2 linked regions of the Lepisosteus oculatus genome follow. The protein of the gene in region 2 purifies or fractionates together with the protein of the main gene of each other region. This does not show direct contact. Links are inferred from orthologs where the notes say so. Each region holds a gene or a part of one and is shown on either strand. Other genes may lie near its edges.

The links. Proteins that work in one complex are often made in the same cells at the same time.
Region 1: the proteins of ppp3ccb (region 2) and rcan3 purify together in Homo sapiens (affinity purification with mass spectrometry; 3 studies listed by BioGRID and IntAct, counting the BioPlex papers as one, with this or other methods). This does not show direct contact. The link is inferred for Lepisosteus oculatus from reciprocal best matches to the Homo sapiens genes PPP3CC and RCAN3.

Annotation. Positions count from the first base shown.
Region 1 is NC_090706.1:4,243,970-4,251,675, reverse strand, and holds the start of rcan3 (calcipressin-3), read left to right. Parts: upstream 1-4,607; 5' UTR 4,608-4,879; coding exon 4,880-4,975; intron 4,976-5,059; exon of another isoform or gene 5,060-5,323; intron 5,324-6,798; coding exon 6,799-7,014; intron 7,015-7,706.
Region 2 is NC_090697.1:68,025,817-68,033,468, reverse strand, and holds the start of ppp3ccb (protein phosphatase 3, catalytic subunit, gamma isozyme, b), read left to right. Parts: upstream 1-4,590; 5' UTR 4,591-5,134; coding exon 5,135-5,186; intron 5,187-7,652. UniProt on the Homo sapiens protein: Calcium-dependent, calmodulin-stimulated protein phosphatase which plays an essential role in the transduction of intracellular Ca(2+)-mediated signals. Dephosphorylates and activates transcription factor NFATC1.

The DNA of each region.
Region 1 (7,706 bases), on a different chromosome or scaffold from region 2:
TTAATGCAAACCGTGGACTATACATAACTACTTGTGCCTCTTAAGTAGCACCAATTCTTGACCTTTAAGAATTTAAGAACAGCTACAGCTTTGAAGAGGCCTTCCACAACATAGTTGGGTAGCTTGTTCCAGACGCCTTCAGTTTATGAACTAACAGGATTGTGGAGCTCTGGGATTCAGTTTGAAGAGTTATTCCTTTGCAAACTGTAAATGTATCTTTCTTTAGTTTAAATCTTGATGTGTCAAGGCTATACTGGTTTGCTTTGTTAGTTGATATTTTAGGGTTTATTTAGCAAGTAACGGACAGTACAGTGGCGCAGTGGTTAATATGGCTGCCTTGCAGTGCTGGGGCCCTGGGCCCAGTTCCTGTAGTCCTCTCTGTGTGGAGTTGGTACATGCTTCCTGTGTTTGTGTGGGTTTCCTCTAGGTGTTCCAATTTCTTCCCACAGTCCAAAAACGTGCTGAAAGGTTGACTGGCATCTGGGAAAACTGGCCCTGGTATGAGTGTATCTTTGTCTGTGTGTGGCCTGCAATGGGCTTCAATTCCTAAAGAACAGGCAATATCTTCTGTGCTTCCTTTATCAAAAGCCATTTTAAACTGATATATTGCCAACTTAACGGCAGCCAGAATCCTGACCAGATCTAGTGCAAGTGTACACATTACCCCTATCCTCAGAGTCCTTACACTGGCTTCCTGTCAAATTCCATGTGGACTTTAAAATCCTCATGCTCATCTATAAGGCTCTGCATGGCTTGGCACCTCAGTACCTGTCTGAATTATTATCGCCCTACTCCTCATCTCGCAACCTTCACTCTTCTAATTCTGGTCTCCTAACTGTCCCCCATTAAGGATTAAGAACCCATCTACATTGTATGTGTGACAGGGCCTTCTCCTGTTCTGCCCCCAAGCTCTGGAACTCTCCGCCCAAGGATATCAGAGAGTCACCCTCTCTAAACTCCTTCAAACCCAGACTCAAACGTTCTTCTTTAAAAGAGTCTTTACTTAACTGATTCCATTCTTTACCCCTCTGCTCCTACTATACTTAGTACCACCATCTACTGTCTCCTCTGTGTATTGTAATTGTGTTCTATCTTGTGTATCCTTTTTATTTATTGTTGTTGTCATTCTGTAAAGCGCTTTGAGAAGCCACCTTTAAAAGCGCTATATAAAATAAAGTTTATTATTTTATTATATTAATAAAGGAACTATGGATCTTCTACAGAGCATGGTCTGTAACCCTACGTTTTCATTCAAATATTTCTGTGTGTGCATGTTAGTGTCTCTCTGACCCCTGTGACAGACTGGCGTCCTGTCCAGGGTGTACCCTGCCTTGCACCCACTGCTGGCCAGGCCAGACTCCGGCACCCACCCAGCCCCAAACTGGGTAAAGCAGTTCGAAGATGGATGGATTAGTAAGTAAGACGGTCTTCTGTAGTTGCGTTGCCCCCTAACTGTGAGAGCCGAAAATGAGTGTTCTTGTGCACAGGCCATACTCGTAGTGGCAGCTAGGTCCAGGACTTCTTCAAACTGGGAAACTGGAGTTTTATTTCTCTCTACAATTAAAAAGGAGAAAAAAAGAGATTCTATAGAAGCATCATCACAGACTTTGTTCAGAGATTTTTATTGAACCTGAAAAGCTAAATAATTCTAAGCAGATGAAGAGTCGACCTGTTAAATAGAATTTAAATGAAGCACATGAGAAGAGTACATCAGAACTGTATGATTTTGAATTAACCAGTACTTTTTAAGATGGAAGAATCTTCGCTTTGCCTGACAATAATATCACAAAATGACAAATGAACATCTTCTGGGCTGGAAATACAGGGTGTCCAACCATGTTGCTGAAACAAGTACAGCACAAAGCCACTGGATGAGATCCTTGGATCAATTAAATACTATCAAATGGGCTGAATGGCTCCTCTCATTCGTAACCTGTCTTGTGTTTTTATGGTGGTACAGTACTTGACCCAGCACTGAGGAAAGCTATCGAACAAGACTGACTTCTCTGAATGCACACTAGTCAGTGTAAAGACGCAGATATTAGGCATAGCTTCTAAACTACTACAGTCTCATCAAAAATGAATGTGAGTTCTGAAAACAAGATTTTTTAATTCAGAATAATAAGTTTGCCTCACTCTCCTTACTGCTGTTTTAGAATATAGTTAGTCAAAAGAACTATCAAATACTCCATAATCAGAAGATTCATTAACGACCTTCTGAATTAGGTTAATACATGACAGATTTGGAATGCCAATGTTCTGTTTCCCATTCAAACCACAGTGGAAACTAGTTACACATTACTCAGGTTTTGCAGTACTGTTTCATATGAACTGCACCTTTATTTCCTTTTCAAATTTAATCTGCTGCCTGCCTATCTAATGTATGCCTTTCACTTTAGTTTTACTTTTCAAGATACCCTGAATGCAAATGAATTAATTTTAATATTAACTTCATTTGATCACAGACATCTGCAATAATTAAAGATGGCTGTGTTGGTATCGTACTTTTCCACTCCTGTTTTGAGGGCTGCTGAAATATGCCCATATTTGTTGGTTGGAGCAGAGAAGATGGATAGAGACAGAAAACTGCCAATTGAAAAACAAGGAATGTGACTTTAGAATGTAAGAGCATTAAACACGTGAAAGCATCTTCATTTAAAAACTAAAAATTCCCAAATTAGAATATGTCCTAAACATTTCAAAACAGTTCTTTAATTTAATGTTGAAATACATAAAGAAAACCTTACCTGGTGTGTCCTTTGGGGCGTTTGTTGGAGGATTCTGTGTTTTGACTTCTGTGCTGGTTGTGCATCCCATCTTTGATAACAAGAATATACCCCAAACTCTGGCTAGAGCTGTCTGATTCCTGTATGAACTGATCCCTTTTCCTTCCACTGCTGGTTATTAATCATTTTATTTACACTGCCTTTTATCACAGCTTCCTGTCACTTGTCTGCCATAGTAACACCTTGTGTGGGATGTTTCCCTGCAGAGCCCGGCTATGGTTTTGAAATCTGGAGATAATTCAACAAAGTTAATCTTTCGGTTAAGCAAAAGTTAATGATTTAACTCTCATTACCCATGGCAGAACTAATGCCCAAGGAGCTGATCCCAACATAGTTCTTGTTCACAGGCTTCTTAGTCGCTAACTCTAATTGTTAGTACTTTAAATCTTTATCTTTTGTGAATTTCTCCAGAGAAGACATAGACCAAGGTACAAAAGCTTTCAAAAGTGCTGAAGAATTCAGTAAGCTTCTGTGTTGTAAAATCATTTTAGATGTTCAAAATAAGCATATTGCTTTGCTGTCCAGCAACATTTTAGAGTCATCAATTTGGAAAAAACACACAGATTTTTGCGAACCCACAAATGTGTGTGCGCTTGTCTCCAGGAAGTTTGTAATACTGACTCCCTGTCCCTTTCTGATTTTTTTTTGCTCTGCTCTAGTTCCCCTAATGTATATACAACAAATGTGTTTACACAAGAAACACAGCACTAACAATATTATCAGAACCGCAGCAGAGCCAGCAATGGAACACTTCTTATTATATGGTGCTCGGAAGCCAAACTAAATTAGATTATTGGATTTGGGAGGAAAACAGGAAAACTTGAATGCCCGTTGCTTAACTTGTCCTTTAGTACTACAAATTTTAGCCTCCCTTCACACTGTGCTGTGTCGGCAAATAAAATCATATCAGTGCACAGTTCAGGCGGCTCTGAATGTTCTTTGTAAATTACAGTGACGGATGAGCGTGACTGCTGCCGTGGCAACAGATGCCCTCTTTTGAACAAGTTCCTACTTGTGGAGCAAAAAACGAGGCAATGTCAGAGGAGGGGCAGACACCAGGTTACACTTCACCTTGCATTTACAAGGCATTTGGTAAGTAATAACCTTTTAAGAAGTGCTTAAATATGCTAGAATACTTACTGTAAATCTGGAAGGTTTCTTCTCATAAAAAATAAGAATGACCTCTAGTTAAACACATTTTATTGAGACACTTTGAAGTGTATGGTATTGTAAATTAATCGGAAAGACTCACAAGTTCAGCAGGTGTGAGCCTGGTCAGTACCTGGATGGGAGATGTCCTGGGAAAGATAAGGTTGCTGCTGGAAGAGGTGTTAGTGGGGTCAGTAGGGGGCGCTCACCCTGTGGTCTGTGTGGGTCCTAATGCCCCAGTATAGTGACGGGGACACTATACTGTAAAAAGGCACCATCCTTTGGGTGTGATGTAAAAACGAGGTCCTCACTCTCTGTGGTCATTAAAAATCCCAGGGCGTTTCTTGAAATGAGTAGGGTATAATTTCCATCTTTGAACTGGCTTAATCACTGTTCTCCTCCCCACTGAGAGCTGGTGTGTGGGGAGCGTACTGGTGCACTATGGCTGCCGTCGCATCATCCAGGTGGGGCTGCACACTGGTGGTGGTGGAGGGGAGTCCCCATTACCCGTAAAGCGCTTTGAGTGGAGTGTCCAGAAAAGCCCTATAAAAGTGTAAGGCTTTATTATTATTCCTTCATAAGATAAAATTTGCGCTGTAGATTGCACGGCACACAGGGGACTCTTAAAGCATATTTTGGATGTTATCAGGATTAAGAATGGCCTTTTCATTTTCATTTTGGAGGCGCAGTCTCTTTTCTCTTATCTACTCTAGTTAACCTCGTACGTTTTTTTAATTTCTTTGTACGACGTTTCATTTTTAATTTTCTTTTCGCGTCGGGTACTTGTTAGACGTGCCACTGCCATGGGAACCCGTGTCGTGCAGGAAGCAGCTCCTTTGAAGAACCGTCCGAAGCCCCCAGTTTTGTTTTGTTTGTTTTTTTGTTACTAAAACGAAATCCGCGACTTCTGAAAACTGAAAGACGCCGAATGGAAACAGCCACGAATGGGCCGCATTCATTTTTTTTGGTTGCTGTCCTCGCCGAGCGCCGGGAGGTGCTTCTGGCCGAGCTGTCGCCGCCGGCACGGCGAATCCTCCCAGGTGAGCCGTGTTCACCCGGCGCTCGCCACCAGTCTTGACGCGCAGCCTCCCCGACCCCGTCCGCCGCCGTGCCGATTGGTCACCCAGCGAGAGGGGCGGCAGGCCATTGGTCCTGTCCTGCAGCCCTCCGATGAAGGTGTAGGGTGCACCCACCTGCAGCCGGAGCGGTCACAGGGTGGGGAGGGGAAGGGGGGGTGATGCACGGGCGATTGAGCGATATAACTTCCAGCTGTGAAAATACAGCTGCGGGCGCACCAAAACAGCCCGAGGATTGCGCTGCGCGTTCGTTTTGCGCTAAATCCAAGAGCAGCGGAAAGTCGGCGGGCTGTTAACGCGGGTGGCTTTGTGGTGAGTAAGGCGATCCGCCCGTTGTCGATTTGGAGTTGACCCGAGGGGTCCTCTTGATCCGCGGAGAGCGTGATTTGGAGGTGGCAGGAAGACGCGCCGGCTACGCTGGGGCTGCGTGATGTAACCGCGCTCGGTTGTCATTTTGACATTGAGCCGGTGTGACGCGAGGTCCGTGTGTGTCGCCGGGCTCTGGTGTCCCACACGCACGGCTATTTTTAAGTCTATTTCGTTGTTAGCCCGTCATATTTTTAGGTGCATGTAACGGCGGCTCTTACAACGCTACTACGAATCTTCTCCGACCAGTGTTGTGAACAGTCTCGGTATACTTAAGTACGGGGTGGCACAGATAACAACGGTATACTTTGTTAAGAGGAACAAATCTGTGCTCCTTAGATTGTGTTGCAACGTTTATGAATAATAATAAAACAACTTTCTACGATGAGTTCCACGATCAGACGCCGCTGGTGTATTAATTAAAAAAGATATGGTGTATTAATTAAAAAACATATGGTCTTGAAGGTCGAACGTTTTAATTGTTTGAAATGTAGACGCCACATGAGAGTAAAGTTCTTTTATGTTATGTTCCTCAAATATAACATCACGGTGTATTTACCTCATCTGCACTTCACCGCTTTTTTCGAATGATGTCGCTGCGGGGCGACAAATTATGGTTTAGAGTGGAGGTCGTTCACAGTGCTGTTTCTGTTTATACCTGACGTATGTTTGTATTCACACTTCAAAACTATGCACTATTTGTCTGTGAAAATAGTAATAACACTGTTATGTAAGAGGGCGGTAGTCACGAATGTGGTTATTTTCTTTATGTCTTTGCAATGGTTGTCACAACACTTGATTGTCGTCTAGGAAAATATGTATTTTTTCTCTGTTTCAATCAATCTAACAATATTACAATAATTACCTGCATAAAAAATGCCTTCCTGCTTTGTGCAACACGTGTTAGACAGACGTTATTGTAAATATCTAAAAAAGTCATTTTTATTCCTTGATTGTTACCTATGTGGTATGTTCTGTTTCTTATATCTATTATTGCATCTACTGTACGGGGTGGAGCACGGGTATACAAAAGATCAGTGCAATCTTAGTTTTAAACACCCTGCGTTTAAATAACACTTTAGCAGAAGAAGCATACAATTCTTGTTCCAGTGATTTCCTTCCCCGCTTCTTCCTTTCAATTCTTTCTCAAACAATTAAAAAAACAAGGGACCGCAACAACAACAATATTGATGTTTGAGTAGCGGGCTGCGTCAGCGTGCGTAGGCTGCAAAAGAACAGGTAAAGGCTTAGGACAGAGGGGAACCAGCAGAAAATAATCATGAATAATAATAGCTGTGATTTATAAAGCGCCTTTCGAAACCCAACCACACCGTACATGGTGATGCAGAAACAGACGAAGATGCGTGTCGGATGTTGCACCGACAGGGCAGCTGCTGAGTGTCCACTCTTTGTCCCCTCAGCACGCACAGTGTCCGGCCCACTCCCATCCCACCATGCTGAGAGACGGCGGGAAGGCCTGGAGCGACCCGGAGGAGGAGGAGGAGGAGGAGGAAGAGGAGATGATCTTCGGGGAGAACGACGAGGACGCGGAGGAGATGATGGACCTCAGCGACCTGCCCACGTCCCTGTTCGCCTGCAGCGTCCACGAGGCCGCGTTCGAGGAGGACCTGCACCGGGTGAGCACTGAAGCTCCAAGGGGCAGGGTGTCCTGGTCGTGTCATTGTGTGCCACCCAGTGGAGAAGCGATCCCAGTAACAGTTAACCCAGCGGCACTACCTGGCCTCCAGCCCCTGACCTGCGCTCAGAGTGAGTGCCTGTATTGATAGATAGATACTTTATTGATCCCGTGAGGGAAATTGCAGTGCAACAGCAGCTGAACACAGACAACACAGCCACAGTGTAACGAATGATACAATAATAATAATACAATACATACAATTGATCCAGCCATGTGTAATATGGATTTTCTTTACCCTGCATTATTTGTTTTTAAGTGTGCGTTGCCTTGATCAGAGGCATGGGATCAATAATTTAATATTGCTGGCACCGCTCAAAAGGGTACAATAAAGCAATTGTCAGGTTGCCGATATGAAAAATAGCAGGCGCGTGCACTGAGGTTTCTGAAGCAATGAAGAGCAGTGAGTCTGGAAACCAGAATTCTCCACAAGAGCCAGAACCCTGCTATAGGTGACCTCAATCCTAATGTACTGTGGAAATGTGCACCTGCTGTATGGTCCAGTAAATGCTAGCCGTGCACTCAGGCTAACAGTGACAAGAGTGGTCTCGCATCTCTTTCAGTGTGGGCCGATTCCTGCTCAGATCTCCTCTCCTGTGTTATGTTCCTCATCAAACAGCACCAGAGCATTGA
Region 2 (7,652 bases):
AAAATGAACAGCATGCATGAGAATTTTGCAGTCCAGCTTCCAGACCGAGTTTTAAATGTGATCAAATATGCTTCCACCACCCTGTCAAACTGAAGATAACTGAAATGCGGTAAAAGGCTAGTTGATCTCCCAAAGAGCCCCATTCTTCTCACTTTTTTTTTACTTTACAAGAATATCTTGTAAAGAAGTCAAATATAAAACTCATTACATAGATTACACTGTACAAGTTTTGTCATGTACAAAATGCTGTAGGATAGAGCCTGTTTTCTGTTTTGAATTAGCTGTGTCAAACTGTTTTTAAAGTTTCTATAGACCAACGATGTTCGCTAATCATTTGGCAGCTCTTGAGTACTTTCCCTCATGACTATAGGAAGTTCAGTTTAGTTTTGATTTACAATGTTGCTTACCAAATTGTTAACCTGATGAAATTCAAGGTGCTGCATGTCATGTTTTAGTAGAATAAGCTAAAATTAAGAGGTTTTACATTACAGTTTCTGCTCATTAGAGGCATTGTGATTAGTTTAGCACCCTTACCTTATTAGAACACTTAGAAGAGTTTGTAATCTCTTCTGTAGCCTGTTAGAATGTGTATTCTTATCAATATTCTTAGATGATGGAGCTTTCAAATTTTGACAATTGTTTGTAGCAGAAAAACCTTTAGCTCTCATCTAAATGGAGTCACATCAACTGAATGAGCAACTTGTAGGTGTTGAATTATTTTTGGGAGCGGGCTTCAATGCCATTGGAGACTTTATGATGCACAATCATTGAAAATGTAAATGGAGAAACCAAAATGTGAGTTCTTGAAAAAGGAGAGAATGGGAGTCACAATGTTACTTGCCTGTTGATTTATTTAGTCTTCAGCAGGCTTTGGTTTCACATTCAAAATTCTTTTTTTTTTTTAGATACCCAATCTCCAGTTTCAAATGTTCAGTTGTGAGAAAAAGTTTGTGAAATGATCTGGATTTCTGCATGAATGGCTCCTAAAATGTGATCTGATCTTCATTTAAGTCTTAATAATAACTAAAGACAGTCTTATTGAACAAACAACACACACAACATTTTACATTGTCGTATCTTTATTGAACAAATGTCAAGGTCATTGATGGGAAAAGTAGGTGAACCTCTAGGATAATGACATCTTGAAAAGAGGGTAATTGGAGTCAGGTGTTCTAATCAATTCAGGTGTGGGTTTGACCTGCCCTGCCATATTAAAAAAATCTCAACTTTGGTTACCTGCTCTTCACAACAGAATTCTGTTGAACTGCAATATGGCCTCATCGAAAGAGATTTCAAAAGACTTCAGAAGAAGAGTTGTTGAAGCTCATAAGACTGGATTTCTGAAGACCTGGACCTCTGTCTGTCCACAGTCAGGCAGATTGTTTACAAATGGAAGAAATTCAGCACTGTTGCTACTCTCCCTAGGAGTGGGCATCCTACAAAGACTGGTAGCAAGGGCACATCATAAAATCCTCAAACAGGGGACAAAGAACCCTAGGGTGTCAGCTAAGGATCTGCAGGCATCTCTTGCACTTGATAATGTCTGTGTTCATGAGTCTACCATAAGAAACACTGAACAAGAGTGGTGTTCATGAGAGGTGACCATGAAGGAAACAACTGCTCTCCAAGAAAAACATTGCTGCCTGTCTCAACTTTGCTAAAGTCCACCTGGATGGTCCACATCACTACTGGAACAATGTTCTGTGGACAGATGAGACAATAAGTGAGCCTTTTGGTAAATATACTGTACATAGCGTTTTCTTTGGAGAAAACAAAACACCATATACCAATACCAAAACATCATCCCAGCTGTGAAGCATGGGAGTGGGAGTATAATGGTGTGGGGCTGCTTTGCTGGACAGCTTGCAATCATTGAGGGACTAATATATTCCAAGTTGTATCAGGATATTCTACAGCAGAAGGTCAGGGAATCTGTGATCTAAAACTCAAAAGAAGTTGGGTCATGCAACATGACAATGATCCAAAACACAGGAGTAAATCCACAACAGAGTGGCTCAAACAGAAGAAATTCCGTATTCTTCTGTATGAGAGTCCTGACCTCAATCCCATTGAAATGCTGTGGCGTGATCTGAAACAGACTGTTCAAGCAAGACATCCCAAAATTATACATGAAATGAAACCGTTTAGTATAGAGGAATGGGCCTAAATACCACCTAACCGAAGCATTTGGTTGAGATTATTGCCAATAAAGGGGGTTTCATTACTTACTAAATATAAGGGTTCACATACTTTTTCTATCAATGACCTTGATTGTTAAAACCATTTGTTCAATAACAATATGGCTATGTAAAATGTTGTGTGTGTTGTTTGTTAAATAATACTATATTTATTATTATGACTTAGATGAAGATCACATTTTAGGAGCCATTCATGCAGAAATCCATATAATTCCTAAGGGTCCACAAACTTTTTCTTACAACTGTATATATTATCTCTACAAAGATCAAGGTATAACATACCTGGTATTCAACTGGAAGAATACTGGAATACTGACAGTAATCCAAGAGTCCTGTATTGCCCTTATTATGAATGACGTCTTAAACCGTTATCCTCCAGAGAGCACAATTTATGTGTAACTCCTCAACTTTCTTTTAGGTTGTTCTTGTCAAGAGCTTCAATGTGTTTTTTGAGGATTTGGTGCTCAAACTGAAAATAAGCAAATGTGTTATTACATGTACGCGTCCTACATACTTACTACCTCTCCCATTAAGATGACTGGAGGGGGTGGGAGAGGATCTGTGCTGAACAAAAAGGGATAGGAAACAGCCTGCAGTTTAAGCATCTTAAAATGTATTTAAATATTTATTTAATACTGCTGAGCAAAGCTAAATTGACATACAAGTGTTTAGGAGAAAGTAAAAAAAAATGTTGTGTATGTCTCTTCTTTAGTGCATTTGTAGAAACCTGGTTAGCTTTTCTATTGTATATTTCCCCTAGTAAAGGCCTTTTTTTATTCAATTTAAATCTGTTGCTTTTTTTGTTTCTTAAGCCCCATGTCTGGAAATTGTTAGACAATGGCAAAACATTAAACCTCAGTGGTGTGTTCCATCTTTTGATTTTGTACTGTCCTTTGAGACTATAAATATTGCTGAACCTTTTCTTGTACGATCCAGATACCATGAAGAAGCCGTGTTCCTTCTTAGTCTAAATTCATTAAAACATCAATGTATAAAGATTTGGAAGTTTTATTATTCATTGAGTAGGTACTTTGTTATTTAAAGATTGCTTGAAACAGAAAAAAACCTAAATAATATTTAGCCCTTAAAGACCAGACTTCCTTTAAGATGACTAACTACTTGCTCAGGAGATCATTAGCCTAACAAGAGCTTCTGATCCCTAGAAATAGTTATTATACCATCATCTTTAAGACTTACTGGTTTGAGCTATGTTCTAATGGATATCCTCTAGCTTACCCAAGATGGATTCCTTTGCAGTTTCTGGTGTCTGAATGTCACCTACTACATTACATTATGTCAATCTTCAGGAACAAATACTGTCACTGGTGACGATAAATATCCAACCACCCCATATGCTGCTTCTTTAGACCTCAGTTTATAGTGATTGTTACAGTATACTATGCTCTACCATCATGAAATAAGACATAGAATGCCACCCTTGCTATTTTTTTTCTGTTGAGCACACACACACACAAAACCAAATGACATTGCTTCATTCTTACCATATTGTCGGGTGCCTGAAGAAATAGTTGAGTTAACCATCACTGTTACTGTGCAGACGTGATGCATTGTGTTGACCATCTTGATAGTCCTATGAGTGGTTGAGTAGATCTTGCTGGATCTTGAGTGGTATTGGCACTTGGCAGCATCAGTAGAGGAGTGGCCTTTCAACGACTTGGTCATTTCACCTCGCAACATCCATGACATCATTATTCCAAGAATGCATTACAACCATTGAGTTTCTGCTTCATTTGAAAAGTGCTTAAAAATGAACTTCAGCATTCTCACTGCACTTATCACCATTGTATGTGTAAATTCACAATTCCACATTTCTAAATTTCTGTCAGTAAATGTTGCAAATCATATTTGTGGGTCTGAACAGATGCAACTTTTCTGAAGTGTAGGAATATAATTTACAGTGTATGGATATTACAGAATGATTTATAATGGTTTTGCAATTTGTAAATCTGATATCGAAATCTGAAATTTAAGCACCATCTCTAGTGCTAGACAATGAATACTGTTCAGGAACATAAAAGTCGATTCAAGCTGCAGAACACACATCATTGTCATTTTAGTCAAAAGACCGCCAACGTTAAATAAAACACAACTTCCCGAAGGCCTTCATACTGTTTGTGTCTAAAGCAGCGCTTTCTGGAATATGTAGTTCAAAACGTGAACTGTCATTTAAAACAGTACTGAAGTCCTAAACTGCATTTCCCAGAAATCCACGGTGGCACCCTTTTAATCAAATACGATAATGCAGGTCTTTTTTGGGAAATGTAGTATTTTCTGTGACTCGAGCACGGTACTAGTTCTCCTCCCCTGCGGTATCAAGACTACTTTACCCAAAAGCCATTGCTTTCACGAGTTTCTTGCCGCCATGTTGTAGGAAATCCGCTTGTGGGGGGATTACAGAGTTTAATCCGAGAGAACAGGGACAGAGGCTGGAAGATAGAGCGAAGAGAGAGAGAGAGAAGAAAAAAACCCTAAAGCAGACATAGGCCCGAAAGCAGTGAAATACAGTCAAATAACCCAGCAGCTAAACACCGTGGCATTAAAAGACTTCGACTCGCCAAAATTGGGAGAGTGGATTTGCAAAACCGTTTTTTTTTTCCTGGCTACATTTTTTAAGTTAGCTGGTTTGGACTGATTCTGTGACAGAAATTGACAGCAGCTGGATAGCTAACGAAAAAGAAGAGAGGGGAGAGCAAAATTTGTCAGGAAAAAATAATTTCGTCGAGTAAAGTGGGTTTCCCCCCCTTTCCCCTTTCCCCTCACATTTTTTTTCACCTCCTAACTAACCAAGGAACTCCCATTTTGGGTTGTCCTGGTTTGCTGGATTTGAATTCGAGGGGAAATAAAAAAGGACAGAATAAGCGTACGCAGGGGGAAATATTAGAATACAAAATTCCTGAGGTGAGTCGAGGTGAAAGATGTCTGGGAAAGACCAGAATAAGCAATCCACCACCGAGCGGATTATAAAAGGTAAGTGGTCTTCTCTAACACGGAACAGCAACTTTTACTGTTTGTGTTTTCGTTTAGGGCGGGTTTTCTAAATAGCACGGCAATAATTAAGCTATCCAACGTGGACATGCATTCGTGTCACACCAGGATCGGGGTCGGCTAGCTGTAAAAAAATACATTTTTCTCCCCCCAACCAGAGTCGAGTACAGGCTGTAAATCTGCGGTGTGTATCGTCTTGTCCGAAATGCCAAGCTTAGCCATCTACAGTAGCTACGTCGCGTATTTCAACGAACATTTAAACTTTGCTGGTTATGTTTCCCATCGTACGTGTATTTATATCACACGAGGTTTGAAACAGGTTTTTGGTTCCATTCATCGTGCAAACCAGCTGCCGTTTAAGAGCACTCTTAAAACACAGCTGCGGTAGTAAAAGAAACGTATTATTATTTAATTTATCGTTTTATACTACTTTTATTTCTTTCTGGTTTGTCCAATTGTACAAATGACTTGTCCTGCTTTAACGTTTGTACGGAAGAAGTTCTAATCTGCCTTTCAGTTTAGCAGACCTCTGAAAAATCGTATTCATCCCCTAGAACTGCTGTCCGATTGAATTGAAGTTATGATTGCAAACGTGTATAGTGTAGTCGTGCATTTGAGTGTGTGCTTAAATAGCTTAGGTCATGTAAGACATATTTCCTAAGCTAATTTCTAATAATACATTGCATTTAGCGATCCAGAGCTGTCTTGCTGGAATAACAGCCAGCTGGCTTGGGGTGAACAGTATTGTTTGGCAGTTGAGCTCTGCGCCTTGACCAGCAGTCCTGACGCTAAGAGGTCTTGACGGAATGTGAAGAATTACTGCCCCATCTGGTCTAAGTGTAACAAGGTGAACGGGCTCGGATGAGCCTTGTCTGGGTCAGAACACAACGCAAAACAAAACTACATCAACAAAAATCCAGCTCCGTCAGGTTGCCATCCTGCGACTGGCGCCAAGCTTTTAAAATGCATCATTTCAATAGGCTCAGTATTGCCCGCACTCCCTTCCATTTTGGAAGCTTTTGCATTCTTTTAGAACCTGGAACGAGTGTAAAATGCTGCCTTCTATGGCACATCTCCGAGCAGAGGTCGTAAGGCGATTTGTAATTGGGAAAGGCTATTAGAGGAAATGAGTCCCGTGGGATTTGAATGAATCGCGATTTAAACGTCAGAAGCCCGGCAGTGAGGAGAACAGCCTTCTTCAAGACAGTGGAGTCAAAAGCTGCATGTGAACCTTTTTTTTGCCGTTTTCATAGGTGATAAATTGGGCAGTTTTTATACTTTACATGTAGGGTACAAGACTTGACTGTAACAAAACATAAAATTGAGTCAAAAAGGTTTTTTTCTTTATGGAGTGGTAACTCATTCACGTCTACTATATGAAAGAGAGAAAACCAGGCAGAGTTGTGGATGGGATAGGGTGTGTTAATTCTCAAGTTTTATGTTGAAGCAAGGAAACATGACAGAGCACAAGGGCAACAGAAGATGGAGGAGGGGGAGGTGTTGGTAGAAGTTCTTTAAAGTGCATGCCATGAAAACACACCCTGAAGCGACAGAGGTGGGGATGTTTTCTGTTTTGCTCCAAGAGAGCTAGCTGTTTGCATTCTGACACCACTGTTGGATCAGTGTGGGATTCACGCCTATCCATGCTAATTGATTCAGGGATGTTGCCGTAAAAGATTGTGTGATTAATCACGTTGAAACTAACGAATAAATCGGGCACAGCCAACCTTGGCACTCACATCTCTGTCTGAGGCAAGGCTAATCCTCAGTTATTTTAGTCACTTTCAGTGACAGAATCAGATAAGTTAATAAGAGTTCATTAATAAAACTATTTGGGTTTGCAAAGGAATGAAACGGAGGCTGTGAGTTTGCCCAATCTGTCAGTAAATGCTTCGTTACAGCTTTTAAATACAACATTAATATAGACTTTAGTGTTGGGAAGTTCATGTGTTCAGCAAGGGAAACACTTTAGTGATATTAATGATTCTTGTTTCATTAGAACAATCTATAGAAAGATGCAAATATCACGGAATTCACTGAACTGATATTTCCCATCCTCTTAGGGGGATAAATCTTTGTATTTTTTACCTTTTTGGTAATTTAGATATAGAGGTTGTTTTGTAATTTCATGTGCTGAAGAAGGAAGTAGAGTGTCTACCAGTTTTGCTTAGATTACATTTGCTTCAGGATTTCTAAAATATTTTCATGTCCATGAATTAAAAATTAGTTTAAATTAATTTAATATTAATAGTTAAGAATGAGGAAAGTACTGTTTCATTGCTTATGTACAGAGTTAGTAATCAATGTAGTTGGTTATTGATTTTATTTTACATAAAATATTAAGCATGGGGTGCAAAGATCTGTCATTAAGGGCTATATTAATGGAAGTTTTGTTTTGTGGGTATCTGCTTCATTTCAGTGGCTGCATATTGAATTTTTTATGTACAA